3 linked regions of the Caenorhabditis elegans genome follow. The protein of the gene in region 2 purifies or fractionates together with the protein of the main gene of each other region. This does not show direct contact. Each region holds a gene or a part of one and is shown on either strand. Other genes may lie near its edges. The genes, in order: ccdc-55, math-48 and snf-10.

Region 1 (4,081 bases), on a different chromosome or scaffold from region 2:
TCCTACTTTTTTTGAAATTTTTGAAAATAACTGTAATATTTTCTGTCGGATTTTTTTTCTCGTATTTCGGTTTCTTGTTGATTTTCCGGAAAACTCCTTTTTTAAAAATAATTTTCGGTTATCTTTGAATCTGTTCTCATTAAAATCAAAACATTTCTGGTTAATTCGTAGTTTTTCGGATGTTTTAAAGTGTCGTAAAAGTATTTAGATAAACTGCCGTTTTTTGAAAATTTACAGCAAAAATAGAGAAATTATTCGGAAAAATAATTAAAAAAAAAAAACAGAAAATATGTAATTTTAGATTTCTCAAAAAAAATTAATCAATAAAAATTCGTTTTTTTAATTTCCGGTCATTTGTTATGTCTAACGATTAAAACATCGATTTTTTTCTAAATTTACCTCGCAGATTCATCTTTATTACTGGAGCTCGTGGGCTCCTCGGATGGAGCTTTCGTCTCCGACGCCATTGGCTCCGAACTCTGAAATTCCTTATTTAATTCTCTCTGAAATCACGTATTAAAATATATAAAAATGGTAGAGATAACCATAGAAGTTTTTAAAAAATGAACATTGGAAATTGAAATTGGATATTTCATTAGGTCTGGAATTGGAAAATTGGGAGATTGGAATTTTAACCAGCAATTGAAAAAAACAAACAAAGAAAAAATAAATAAAAATTAAATTTTACAATGGAGGTACAACAATTCCTTGCTCCTTTCTCTCGAAATATCTTTGCCTCGCTGCCTCAATATCTTCTTCTGTATTCCGCTGCTTCAGAATTTCTTTGAGTCCGTCTAATCTTGCTTCTTTATCGATTTTCTTCGGCTTCAGCTTATCTTTAAGCGAGATTTTCGGCGCTTTTTCAGATTTTTCAGATTTCCCTTCAGGCGATCTTCTACTCCCTGATTCTCTCGATTCTATGGACTTCCTTGAAGTTGGTGACGGGCTTGAAGTCCTTCTCCGAGCTCGTGGAGCTCTTGCACCTTCATCATCTGAAGATGGAGGTGTTGGAGTGTAGTTTCGCTGACGGATTCTCTCTGCGTGAGTCGTTGCTTTTTTTTTTGATACCGTATTCAGGCCAGGTTTAAGATCTCCTTCGAAATTTTTTTGTGGAGGTTTTGGTGCTTTTTCCTCGTCAGAATCATCGGAATAAATTGATTTTTTAAGCTTTTCGGCTGGTTTCTTATCCGATTTTTCCGGTTTCGGATCAATTTCTTCATCAGAATCTTCCCGTTTTCTCACATTTTTCTGCTCTTTCTTCCTCTGTTTAATAGCTGTAGGATCTCTTGCCAAATCGTTTAAAAGCGTCCTTCCCATACCAATTTCCCATAATTTCTGTTTCTGAACACTTGTCATATCATTAAAAGCAGCTTCTTCAGCTTCTTGTTCCCGATGTTTCTTCACTTCTTCCTGTTGCTTACGGTATGCTCCAGTTACAAAAACTTCTTTATCATCAAATTCATCGCCTTCTTTCTCTCGTTCTCTGAGTTGTTGGCGTTCTTCACGAGAAAATTGTTCGAGTTGGCGACGAGCATGGGCTTTAATGATGTTCTCCGCGTATTTCGATTCACGATTTTTGTCCGCTTTTCGAGCTTCTTCTTTCTGCAAAAACAAAGCTGTTAGTTGAATTTTTCAGCCTAAAAATACTGAAACTTCTGAAACAAACCATTTTTGGTTAAAGATGTGTTTTTTTTTCTTTTTTAACGAAAAATTTTCGATTCTCTAAAAACCCGAAAAATCGAAAATGTTCGTTTATTCTTGTCCATTTTTTAGATTTAAAAAAATATCAAAATTGTTAGTGGAAACTTATTATATAAATTGTTTTATTTGTTGAAAATTTTTTTTTCATATTTTCTTATCGAAAATTCTTTGTTAATGGTTTTAAAATCTACACTTTTTCGTTTTATTTTTAGTATTTTTTTTTTCGATTTTCAACTTTTCGAGCCCTCACTTTTTCATTCTTAATCGCCTGAATTTCATCGTAATTCCCGTCATAATCGAAAATCGTCGGATCCTCGGCTTCTGCCTTTTGATGTTCTCGTTCTGCTGCTTTTTGCACACGAATAACTGAAGCTGATGCCATATTGGTAGCTGTGGCTGGCTGAAAAGTAAGAAATTTATAATTCAGAAATTTATAAAAGCTTTTCTAAATCGAAAAATAGTCAAAAACTAAAAATGTTTAAAATTGCTAGTAGGAAAAAATTATTTTTGATAATTTTCGGTCATTTCTTTGTTGTTTGAAAACTTTTTCTCCTACACTAAATTTTTCAAACTTCTCTGAATTTTACCACATTATCATCATCATCATCGTCTCCAAAAACACTGGAAACTCGAATTGGAGCAGCTTTCGGTTCATCTTTTTTCCGAATATTTAATCCTACATGCCGTTTTGATGCCATCTAAAAACTTTTTTATTTTATTTTTCCAATTAAAAGAATCCAAAGGATACAGTTTCAGATATAAAACACCGCTGTGAACGGGAATTGGAAATAAAAATTAAACAGGAAGAATAAATAAAGTCGTAATTTTTTTTTCAAAGAAATCAGAAAAATCACCCGGTGCCCGGCAAAAAAGAAGTAACGAGAAAAAATGAAAAAACGAGAATAAAAATGCAATTGGAATGACAATTTTTGTGTGTATTTGTGACTATTTGATAACTTTGGGATGCAGTTAGAAATTATTAAATAAAAATAAATAAGTAAAAATTAAAATAAAAAGATTCCTATTCCAATCCCATCCATGTGGTGAGTCCTTGAACAGCTGTTACAATCAATGGCTGCCAGCAGACGAGATAACGGATCCAGTCAAGCAATTTTCCATAGAATAAATGAGGTTTCTCCCATCTGAAATTGAAAATTTTTAAAGAATTTATAATTAAATTTGATTTTTTCAAAAAACTAACGGATTTTTAAACATTCTCTGTAAATCGACACGTTCTTTGCAATACGGGCATGTTTGAAGTTTTCCAACAACTACCCATCCTCTGATACAGAATTCGTGAAAAACGTGGCCACATGAGAGTCTGAAATTATTGATTTTAAGTTTAACAAGAGCTTTCTAGCCTCATGTGTCGATTTACTTTGTTAAATGCAAAAGGGTGCGCGCCTTTAAAGAGTACTGTAAATTTTAAATTTCTGGTGCACCGGATTTTCGTCAATTTTTCAACAAAAAAATGTTAATCAAATTTTATTTATTGAGGCACCACGGATTCAAGATCTGGTGGAATTCCGGATCTACGTTTTCCGGACCTGGCACCGTGCCAACGCAAAAAAAAATTTCTCGGAGGTCTTGATTTTATTTTTCTGTGTAACTTTTATTCGTATATTTGAATTTTTAATTATCAAATAAAAAATTTCACGAAAAACTGTGGAAAAATCGATGAAAATTCGTTCAAAAGCTTCATAATATCAGTTTTTAAAAATTTGGTGCTTTCTGGTGATTCTCGAAGAAAACTGGAAAACTACTTATTAATTCTTTTTTTTAATTAAAAAAAGTGAAAATTCCAAAAATCTGCTGAACTTCTCCACTCACTTATACAATTTTTCATCTTCATCTTCAACCATTTTCGTTGTAACCACAGCATCTGCATCATGAACATGTTCCGAATCATCAAGACGTCCTCCACAAACAGCACAGACACCGTCTTCTAGATGCTTTTTAGGAAGTCCTTCAGGAGTGTAATACTGAAAAATTGGAATTATATTGATTATTTTTCGGCAGCAGGTGAAAAATGTATTTTACCCCGATTCTCGACGCCATTCTCGCCGTGCAAATGTGAGCAAAATCCCGGCCGAGCACTCCGTAATACACACCATAGAACATGAAAAGGATGCCTGGAAGCTTGAAAATTAGATTTTTTCAAAATTTTTCCAAAATTTCTCACCGGCATCCATTAGTGTTGGCTGTGAAACTCCGAATAAAACATGAAATCCTAATAAAGCTCCCATCATGATCAAATATCCAACAACTCCGAGTACATAACTCAGTTTATGCAAAAATAGAAACCATTTGTAGACGAATCTTAAATTATTTCGTTTAATTCGTCTTTTTTATTCTTAAAAACCTTGGTGTTCCTCCACTG
Region 2 (3,602 bases):
AAACTTGTTCCATAAGGTGATACCAACTTCAATGTAAACTCAGTTTCGACGGTCAATTTTCTGGTTTCACATTGTTCTTTGTCACATTGCAAATATAATACCAGATAACCATTGTGCCTCCATATTCTAATTCTCCTGTAATACATTGATTATATTCAAAGAATCTTTAAACCTTTAAATCAACTAACCATGGAATATTAAATCGTTCTTCCACATCAGTGAAGTATTGTTCTCCATTCAGAAATTGGGAGATATTTCGGACAGTTTGGCTGATTGCAAACTCTTTGCAAGAAGTAGACATTTTTCTTTGCAAAATTGAAATGGATGAAAAATCGAAGTGGATTTTTTTTCCACGCTAGCATTTGTTGTTTTTTTAAAACACGCTGGATTTTTTTTAGAAACGTCACGTTTGTTGAAATATGCCGTGCATATTATAAAATGGATTACTTTGTATGAATTTAATTTAATATTTGAATAATCAATTTTTAAGCCTAATAAATGAATAATAATTTTCTCGAATAAAACACTGGTCATGAAAAAGTGCAGCAATTTACAGAATTTGTGAGCGACTTGGAAAGGTACAGTTTTAATTTTATTAAAATTTATTCACATGAGAATTTCCACCGAGTAATTGTGTCCTCCAATAGTGATCACATAATAAAAGAGAGCTCTTCGCTTAAATCATCTACATCCTCACATCCAGTCATCTCCACAATGTTCGCGCAAACTTCAATAATGATACTGTCGTTCACCAGAAATCTCTCCTCCATATCCTTCCACCTGATTATCTTATCCCAGCCGCAATCCGTATTATTTGTATAAGTGTGTTTTGTGTTGTATAATAATCTCTGGCCATCCACGGACATCAATTTCAGCGTGTATTTAACTCCAATGGACCAATTATTGATTCTAGACGTTTTTTTATAGCATCGTAAGAATAGTTTGAAAAATCCATCCTTTCTTTTAATCACGAGACACCTTAAAAATATGATTGTTAAAGTAGAGTTCTCTCTTCTTATTGACTAACCATGGAATACCAAAACGAACTTCAGTGTTAGTAAGATATTTATTTCCTTCTCGAATGTTGGAAACATTTCTAACAGTTTGATTTAGCATAAATGTTTTCAGATTCTTGGGAGCAATGCACGGGACATCTGGAATAAGTAGTATCGTTTGGGTCTCTAAAGTAACTTTTTTTCAACTTACTTGAAATTTTAATAATCTTGACATACGCTTCAATTATAACACTGTCATCAACCATATAGTCATTTTCCAGTTCCTCCCAACTGATGAATTTGTGCCAACCTCCCATTTTCAGCTCTTTGAATGTGTGCACCTTATTCCTGGTCAAACTTCTCCCATAAGGCGACACCAACTTCAACGTGAACTCTGTTTCGACAGAAAACTTCCTGGTTTCACATTCTTCTTTGTCACATTGCAAATAAAATACCAAATCACCATTGAGCTTGCATATTCTCATTCTCCTGTAACACGTTAGTTATATTCAAAGAATCTTTAAATCTTTAAATCAACTAACCATGGAATATTAAATCGTTCTTCCACATCAGTGAAGTATTGCTCTCCATTCAGAAATTTGGAGATGTTCCGGATAGTTTGGCTGATTGCAAACTCTTTGAAGGAAGTAGACATTTTTCTTTGAGAAATTGAAATTGATGAAAAATCGAAGTGGATTTTATTTCCACGTTGTTGTCCACATTTGTTGTTTTTTTTAAACTTCACGTTATGTATTTAATTAATTTATATAAATAAGTTGATGGGTTTTTATTTGGAGCTTCCTTGTTCAGGACGTGCTTCCGACACCTCACCGCTAGAATGGCAAAATTGATATGGCAAAATTGATCGATTTGGTTTCTGATAAAATTTCAATAACTTTCTCCGTCTAATGTTCATTCATTCAATTTACGATCGATGAGAAAAAAAATGGGGATACAAATTATATTAGCAATATAAAACCTAGGGAGCAAGCCAGTATACAATAGAAAAAATTAAACACCAAAAAGTTGTAAAATATAATTTTTTAACAGAAAAGACTAAAATGTTGTGTACTTTCACTAATTTCTTGAGCAAGCACAACGTCACTTATGGCGAAATGGAGATTTATCCAGATCAGCAAACAAGTAGAAGTTCTGGCTTCTTGGATCCACGGAAGCCCATACTTCAACTCCATCGTTGCGACAAAGTGCCAAGTCTTTAATCAAAAATCCATCTTGGTAGATATCGGAAGAGCGAGACGTCCGGTACTCGATACCTTTCAGCAAAACTTCTTTGTAGTTCTCAAGGTTGTCCTCTGCCAGTGCAATATGAGCTTCTGCCAATCTAGGATTCGACCCATTGATGAGATGTCTGAGAAACAGATTCAAATCAGATAAAGAGAATGGGTGCTCGATTTTCAGATCTAAAGATCCTGAGCGTTGCATGAGAGCAGATCGTCAAGTCCGATGACACATTCTGCAGTAAACTCCAGGCGATCCAAGTTCTCGGAGACTAGAGCCCTGAACTGCTCACCAAGGAGAGCTCTGTCGGCAATGCTGATATTCATGGCGTCACGGTAGTAGAGATCGAACATCGTTGGGTTGTTCTCTCCCATCACGAGCTTCCACAACTTGATTCCTTTCAGCTCGTCATAGATCACATCTTCATCCATAACAAACAACATATCAATTTCCAGAAGATCCAGAGCGACGAGCAAATTCTCAACGCAACGTCTCATCGAAAAGCTTTCATTGAGCAATATCCAATTCGTAAAGTGCTCCTCAACGTCGTCTGAAGGAGGAATGAATAAGAACCTGCAGCATCCATTGGCAGACCAAACAATGATACCCATAAGGTGATCCAGAACTACGCACACATTTCCTGCTTCGATGTTCAGAAGCTTTACGGATGTTGGAGAGATCAGGGAGAAACTCATTCTGTAATTTATTATTTTAGTAAACATAGAAAATATATAAGTTAAACTCAAAAATCCGCGAATTTAAAATTCTGAAGAGTAGAACGAAGGGCCTTCGCTGGAAGACGGAGGATGGGGAAAGACGGAGCAGACATGGCTGGGAGAATAATGAAGAATGAATGGGGAGATATAGAATGGGATGGCTTGGTATCGATTCTTCAGATTTGCACTCCCGGGATGATGATCACGGTTAATAGTGGGAAAAGGTTTAGGTGAGAACCTTGCAAAATGACTATTTTGAAGGTTCTCACCTGAACGTTTTCACACTATGGGGTAACAGGTGAGAACGTCCCACTAGGAAGTGTCAATCAATTGGGTGAAAATGTCTCAAAATCGATACGAAAAAAAAAACCGATTATTGCAGTGATTAATATGAAAATACCTGATCGCTCTTTGTAAAATCTGAAACTCAGAGAAAAAATTTGTTCAAAAAAGTTACATTTTGAACGTTACTAGGAAGATAAAACAAACGCGTAATAAAAGCCGCCCATCTCTGATGTGGACCTCAGAAATTTAGGAACTTTCCGGAGTGAATCTTCAAAACTGGGGGCAATATTTTCTAATCAGACCTAGGGAAAATCTAGTCGTATGCTATTAGATCATCACCTGTCATGATAAGATCCGTATCACGGAT
Region 3 (4,739 bases), on a different chromosome or scaffold from region 2:
CTTCCAAGTTATCGGTAATTGAATTGTATATAATTAATTAAAAGAATACGATATTTTCAGATATAAAATCCAGAAAAAGAAAGAGAAATACTCGGGAATTTCAATCGAGAAGAAAGATTCGCGCCAATGAGGCAATGAATGGCGTCAACAAGCCCGTCTATCAGTTGAGGATATATTTATAGAAGTTAATAGTTTTAGGTTTCAGGCCGCATGCTTCATATTATTCAGACGATGAAGATATTCAAAAGAATACCGCATATGAAAAGTATGATATGTGCATCGATTTAGCTGATTCAACTGATGAACTGAAAGCTATTCGACGAAACTGTGAATCCAACTGCATGATTCGATACGTGATTCATAATCAAAGAATGCAATTATTTATATCTGCTCAGAGAAATATCCTAATGGGGGAAGAGGTGAGACCCTTCTTTGATTAAAAAATATATTATAAGACTCTGTTTCAGCTTACACTTCCACATGACTACGATTCGAATTACTCTAGCAAGGTCATTCAATGCGCTCATCCTTATCAACCACACAATGTTTGCATTCACGAGGTTAGTCAGAGAAAAAATATTTTTTTATAAAAGTAGAATAATTCATTATCAATATCTAACTCTGAGCTGTCTTTCAAATTTCACAGCATTTCGTCTGTCTTCCGGATTCATTGGTCCCCAGTCACCAGTTGCTCTTATCATCACCTAAATTATTCCATAAGTAGTTTTTAAGATATATTCTTACCACAAAAGGTTCCATATTTTTTCTTCGATCATACTCATCTCTCAAAAAGTATAAAATCACAAAGATGCATGGCATGACGAGAAGAGAATATCCTATTGGATCAGACACAATAGAATTTTCATTAAATGCTTTTTTTTGGCCGAATGTTGCAACGATACATCCAAAAGTTACAATGAGTAGAATAGGACTGATTACAAGCCAGTTAAGCCACCAGAAGACGTTAGGAGGTCCGTGTCCCCCAATCATTGCTCTTATGTTTCTGAAATAATTTTTTGGACTAAAAACTTTTTGTTTCAAATTATTGTGAATAGGTAAACTCTCTAAAAAAGATTCACATTTTTCGAACTTACACGGAAAATCTCTTGAATCCATACACATAAGATACCGTTATTACTTCAACAAAAGCAATAAATATAGTGCCATATGAAGCAAATGTTTCGATACTACTCATTAGATTAATTCCTCCGTTACCCAAAAATGGTAAACTAGAAATAAGACCTGTGACACTCATAATTGCTAAAATGATAGCTCTCTTATGCCAACTCGCAAGAGCTTTTCCATATTTTCGCCGACTTCCGTTTAATCTTTCCACAATCATAGAACTTATAACCTAAACTTAGATATTGTGGACGTTTTTGTGGCTTCATTTCTACCCAAATATAACTAGAAATTCCCTGGATTGAGCATGCTGCAAGTGTTAGCCAGAATAGAAACACCCAAATGCTTCCCATTGAAGAATTTGTTAATATCTAAATAACTTTTCTGATTATTATAGATTGAACTATTTTAATATACCTCGGAGATTACACTTTCAATCATTACCGGTGTAGCGTATAGTTGAATTCTTTCACTAGCTTCCAAGTCTGGGTAATATAATCTTCCTATTTCAGCCATGAACATGAACGAAAGTAATCCAGTGCATATGTAAAATACAAAAGAAACAATGCTAATAAGTAGAACATCTCGATGTATTTTGTTGTGAAAGTTGTTCAATGAGGCAAATTTCTGGATTCCGCCACATCCAACACTAGAAACAAATACTTTATTTTTCTGAAATTCATGATTCACACCTACTTCAATGCTCTAAGTGCATGTGCTGCAGCATCTGCCCATGACCACACCCACATCCATTTATCCTCGTAACCTTCACTTTGATAAAAGAATGCAGTAAATACGTTTGTAGTATCATTCAAAGACATTCCATACGAAAGAAGCATTATAGTTCCCACCAATAAAAGTGTAAGAGCTACGATACCGGTTCTACCAAGAACTTTTGATCCTCCAATGGAAATTATACCAATAATTATCCATAGACAAACTGCACATATAATAGATGTAACACTTGGCGGCTCCCAATCATTCATTGTTATGCTTCTCTGAAAGTTGCTTCGAAATGAATATCATACAGTCAAGTTATACAACCTTGTACATCAACCCATGAACAAAGCTCATAAATGGAGATTTTCTCTGTTGAAAACCACGGGTGGCAATTAACATTTCTTGATATTCATCACATTCTTTATCCGATCCCGGTTGAATCCATGTACATTTCGACGATAGCTTGTAATTGACACAGTAATCCCCAGATTGACTTTCCTGGCAGCTCTCCCATGGAGATGTTGACCAGATTGATTGGGAAGCATGTGTAAAAATAGTAAGATCGTAAATTGCCCAGACAGATAGACTGATTGTTCTGAATTGAGGATTTTGAAAAAATGAGAAGTTAGGTTCAGATAAATACCTGAAAACCATTATGAAGCACATTCCTGCAGATAATCCTGCCATGGCGGGAGCCATTCTTGAGAAAACTGATAGTGGAGAAGCAGAAGCATATTGTCCAAGAGCTGTTTCAAGATAAAGAAGTGGAACAGCGATGAATACATAACAAAATGTGAATTGATATGGAAACCATCCACCGTAATATCCACAGAGATACGGGAAAAACCAAATATTTCCAGAACATGTAACGAACGAAAGTGTGGCAGTGATAGCTTCCCATTTTGAAGTCCACGTGGGTCCTTCCATTTTTGTATCCAACCCAATATTCTCCAGAGCTAGATTTGTCACGCTTTTGAATCCAATGTTAGAGATGGCAGTAGCATTTGAAGTTTTCTGTAGAAAACAAAAAGATTTTTGATCAGAAAATGTATATATTTTACCTTTATTGGTATTATTTCCTCTGTAGTAGTGCTTCTATTATCATCATTTACTGTTTCGTTTGATGCTGATCTTGTAGTTTCTTCAGATTTTGTTCTAGTTTGTTTTAATTGTTTGAAATCTGAAGACGACGCCATTCACTGTTTTTATAAAACCAAAATAAACTCGTATCGAAATTGAAATTCAATTGCTCTAGTTTCTAAAAATTCACGTTTTCTAAATATTACTAAATATGATTTCAGAAGGAACGTCAAAACACTATCAAGAAGTTCATATCAATGAATTCCAAGTGACTGTTCTCAAATGTAATTTTATAATTTTTTATCACTAATTATTCTCATCTTTCAGACTCTGAAAGTATCTTCTGTTCTCGGAGTCAAATCGTATCTATAATTATCATGTTAATACAATCAGTTTGTTTCATATAATAATTGTTTTTAAAAACACAGTTTTCCACAGTACATCTTCAATAAAATCATAATATCATAATATCATTCTATTTATAATTTTGTTCATACTCTTTTTTATAAAGTTAATTTCATTGCTTCATTTGTAGACGCCCAAGACAATTTATTTAAATCTTCATCGTGGTTACGGTACCGTATACGGTTTTCAAGTTTTATGGCCGCGGCCTAGAATCCGACAACCGTGTACTCCTCCTAGACAATTGCAGAATATAATTTTATTGCTTAATTTTTATGGAATTTGGTTCTAGAACTATAATTACTTGATTCCTAATTCAAAATTTAAATTGAAAACTCCCATATAAGTGCATTGATTCTTGTGTATTGTTTTAATCAAAATTTTGAACACGTGATGCAAAAAGGGTATTCTTGGAACGTTTTCTACTTTTTTCTCATTGGAGAAATTTTCATTGTCTCTAACGAGCGTTTTGCATTTTCTCTATCCTCTTTCCATTCACTTTCATTTCTGAAAAAGGCTTCCATCTCGATGTCTTGACGACGAATTCGTCATGTGTGAGGCTGACTGCACCATCGATTGAAAGAGACCTTCCCTGTCGTTCTCTCGTTCCCCTAACTGTCTGATATCTCATGCTCATCTGTACTCTCTCGTCGCTCGGCATTCGTCTGTTTCTCTTTTTCTTTTCCTTCTATACCTCGTGGACCCTTTCAATATTTGGTGGTAAAAACGTGATAAAACTCACTGCTCTCTGAAATTATTTTTCATTCCCACGGATCTCGTTCATATCGAATAATTTTTCTATTTTTCATTTCTTCTCAGTTTTGCCTTCATTTTTCGTTGTTTTTCGAATTTCGAAATTTTAAAAATCTTTTCGTCTAAAAGGTTTTTTTTATTTTCAGCGCGATTTTATCGTGTTCAAATCGTTAGTAAGGATAATAAAGGAGGAATCCGAAATTTGGGTAATTGCATGTCTTGGTAAATATTTCAAATTGTACAGCAAACTCTTCAACATTAAGACTTTTCAGAATAATAACAATGTCGGCGACCGAAAAGGACAAAACTCCACTTTTGGGTGTTTCTCAACCCATTTCGCTAGCCCATCCAGATTCAAAAGACATTGCACAGACGACTTTATTGATAGAAACATTGAAAAAGTTTGGAAGCTATGAACCAAAAGAAGAAACAGAACAAAGAATGGAAGTACTTCGTAATTTGAATCGTCTAGTCAAAGAATGGGTTAAGAATGTAACTGCCATGAAGGTTCGTTTTTTGTTGAAATATTTAAATTTTAAAAGTATGATCTGAAATAGGTTTTTGTTTATACAATATTTATGAAAATCATCCAACGACTGGATATAATAATTGAAAATAATTAATGTTGGCTCATTGACAAAACTCAGTTTTCTAGAAGAAAT

What was found.
Region 1: the proteins of math-48 (region 2) and ccdc-55 fractionate together in Caenorhabditis elegans (co-fractionation; one large-scale study listed by BioGRID). This does not show direct contact.
Region 3: the proteins of math-48 (region 2) and snf-10 fractionate together in Caenorhabditis elegans (co-fractionation; one large-scale study listed by BioGRID). This does not show direct contact.

Annotation. Positions count from the first base shown.
Region 1 is NC_003281.10:4,166,367-4,170,447, forward strand, and holds ccdc-55 (Nuclear speckle splicing regulatory protein 1 homolog), read right to left. Parts: upstream 2,400-4,081; coding exon 2,289-2,399; intron 2,102-2,288; coding exon 1,952-2,101; intron 1,603-1,951; coding exon 685-1,602; 3' UTR 582-684; downstream 1-581. Other genes in the region: E3 ubiquitin ligase rnf-5, read right to left, coding at 400-467; E3 ubiquitin ligase rnf-121, read right to left, coding at 2,723-2,843, 2,903-3,022, 3,532-3,683, 3,742-3,833, 3,884-4,020, 4,064-4,081. UniProt on the Caenorhabditis elegans protein: Required for the cessation of distal tip cell migration at the end of larval morphogenesis.
Region 2 is NC_003280.10:1,944,868-1,948,469, forward strand, and holds math-48 (MATH domain-containing protein), read right to left. Parts: upstream 1,661-3,602; 5' UTR 1,651-1,660; coding exon 1,538-1,650; intron 1,485-1,537; coding exon 1,207-1,484; intron 1,155-1,206; coding exon 1,028-1,154; intron 979-1,027; coding exon 651-978; 3' UTR 571-650; downstream 1-570. Other genes in the region: ZK250.14 (MATH domain-containing protein), read right to left, coding at 1-135, 189-301.
Region 3 is NC_003283.11:10,437,758-10,442,496, forward strand, and holds snf-10 (Transporter), read right to left. Parts: upstream 3,067-4,739; 5' UTR 3,039-3,066; coding exon 2,904-3,038; intron 2,857-2,903; coding exon 2,486-2,856; intron 2,438-2,485; coding exon 2,167-2,437; intron 2,121-2,166; coding exon 1,819-2,120; intron 1,772-1,818; coding exon 1,540-1,771; intron 1,494-1,539; coding exon 1,398-1,493; intron 1,355-1,397; coding exon 1,095-1,354; intron 1,004-1,094; coding exon 745-1,003; intron 705-744; coding exon 609-704; 3' UTR 573-608; downstream 1-572. Other genes in the region: set-22 (SET domain-containing protein), read left to right, coding at 1-14, 61-163, 206-419, 468-560, 3,144-3,194; pap-1 (Poly(A) polymerase), read left to right, coding at 4,360-4,584.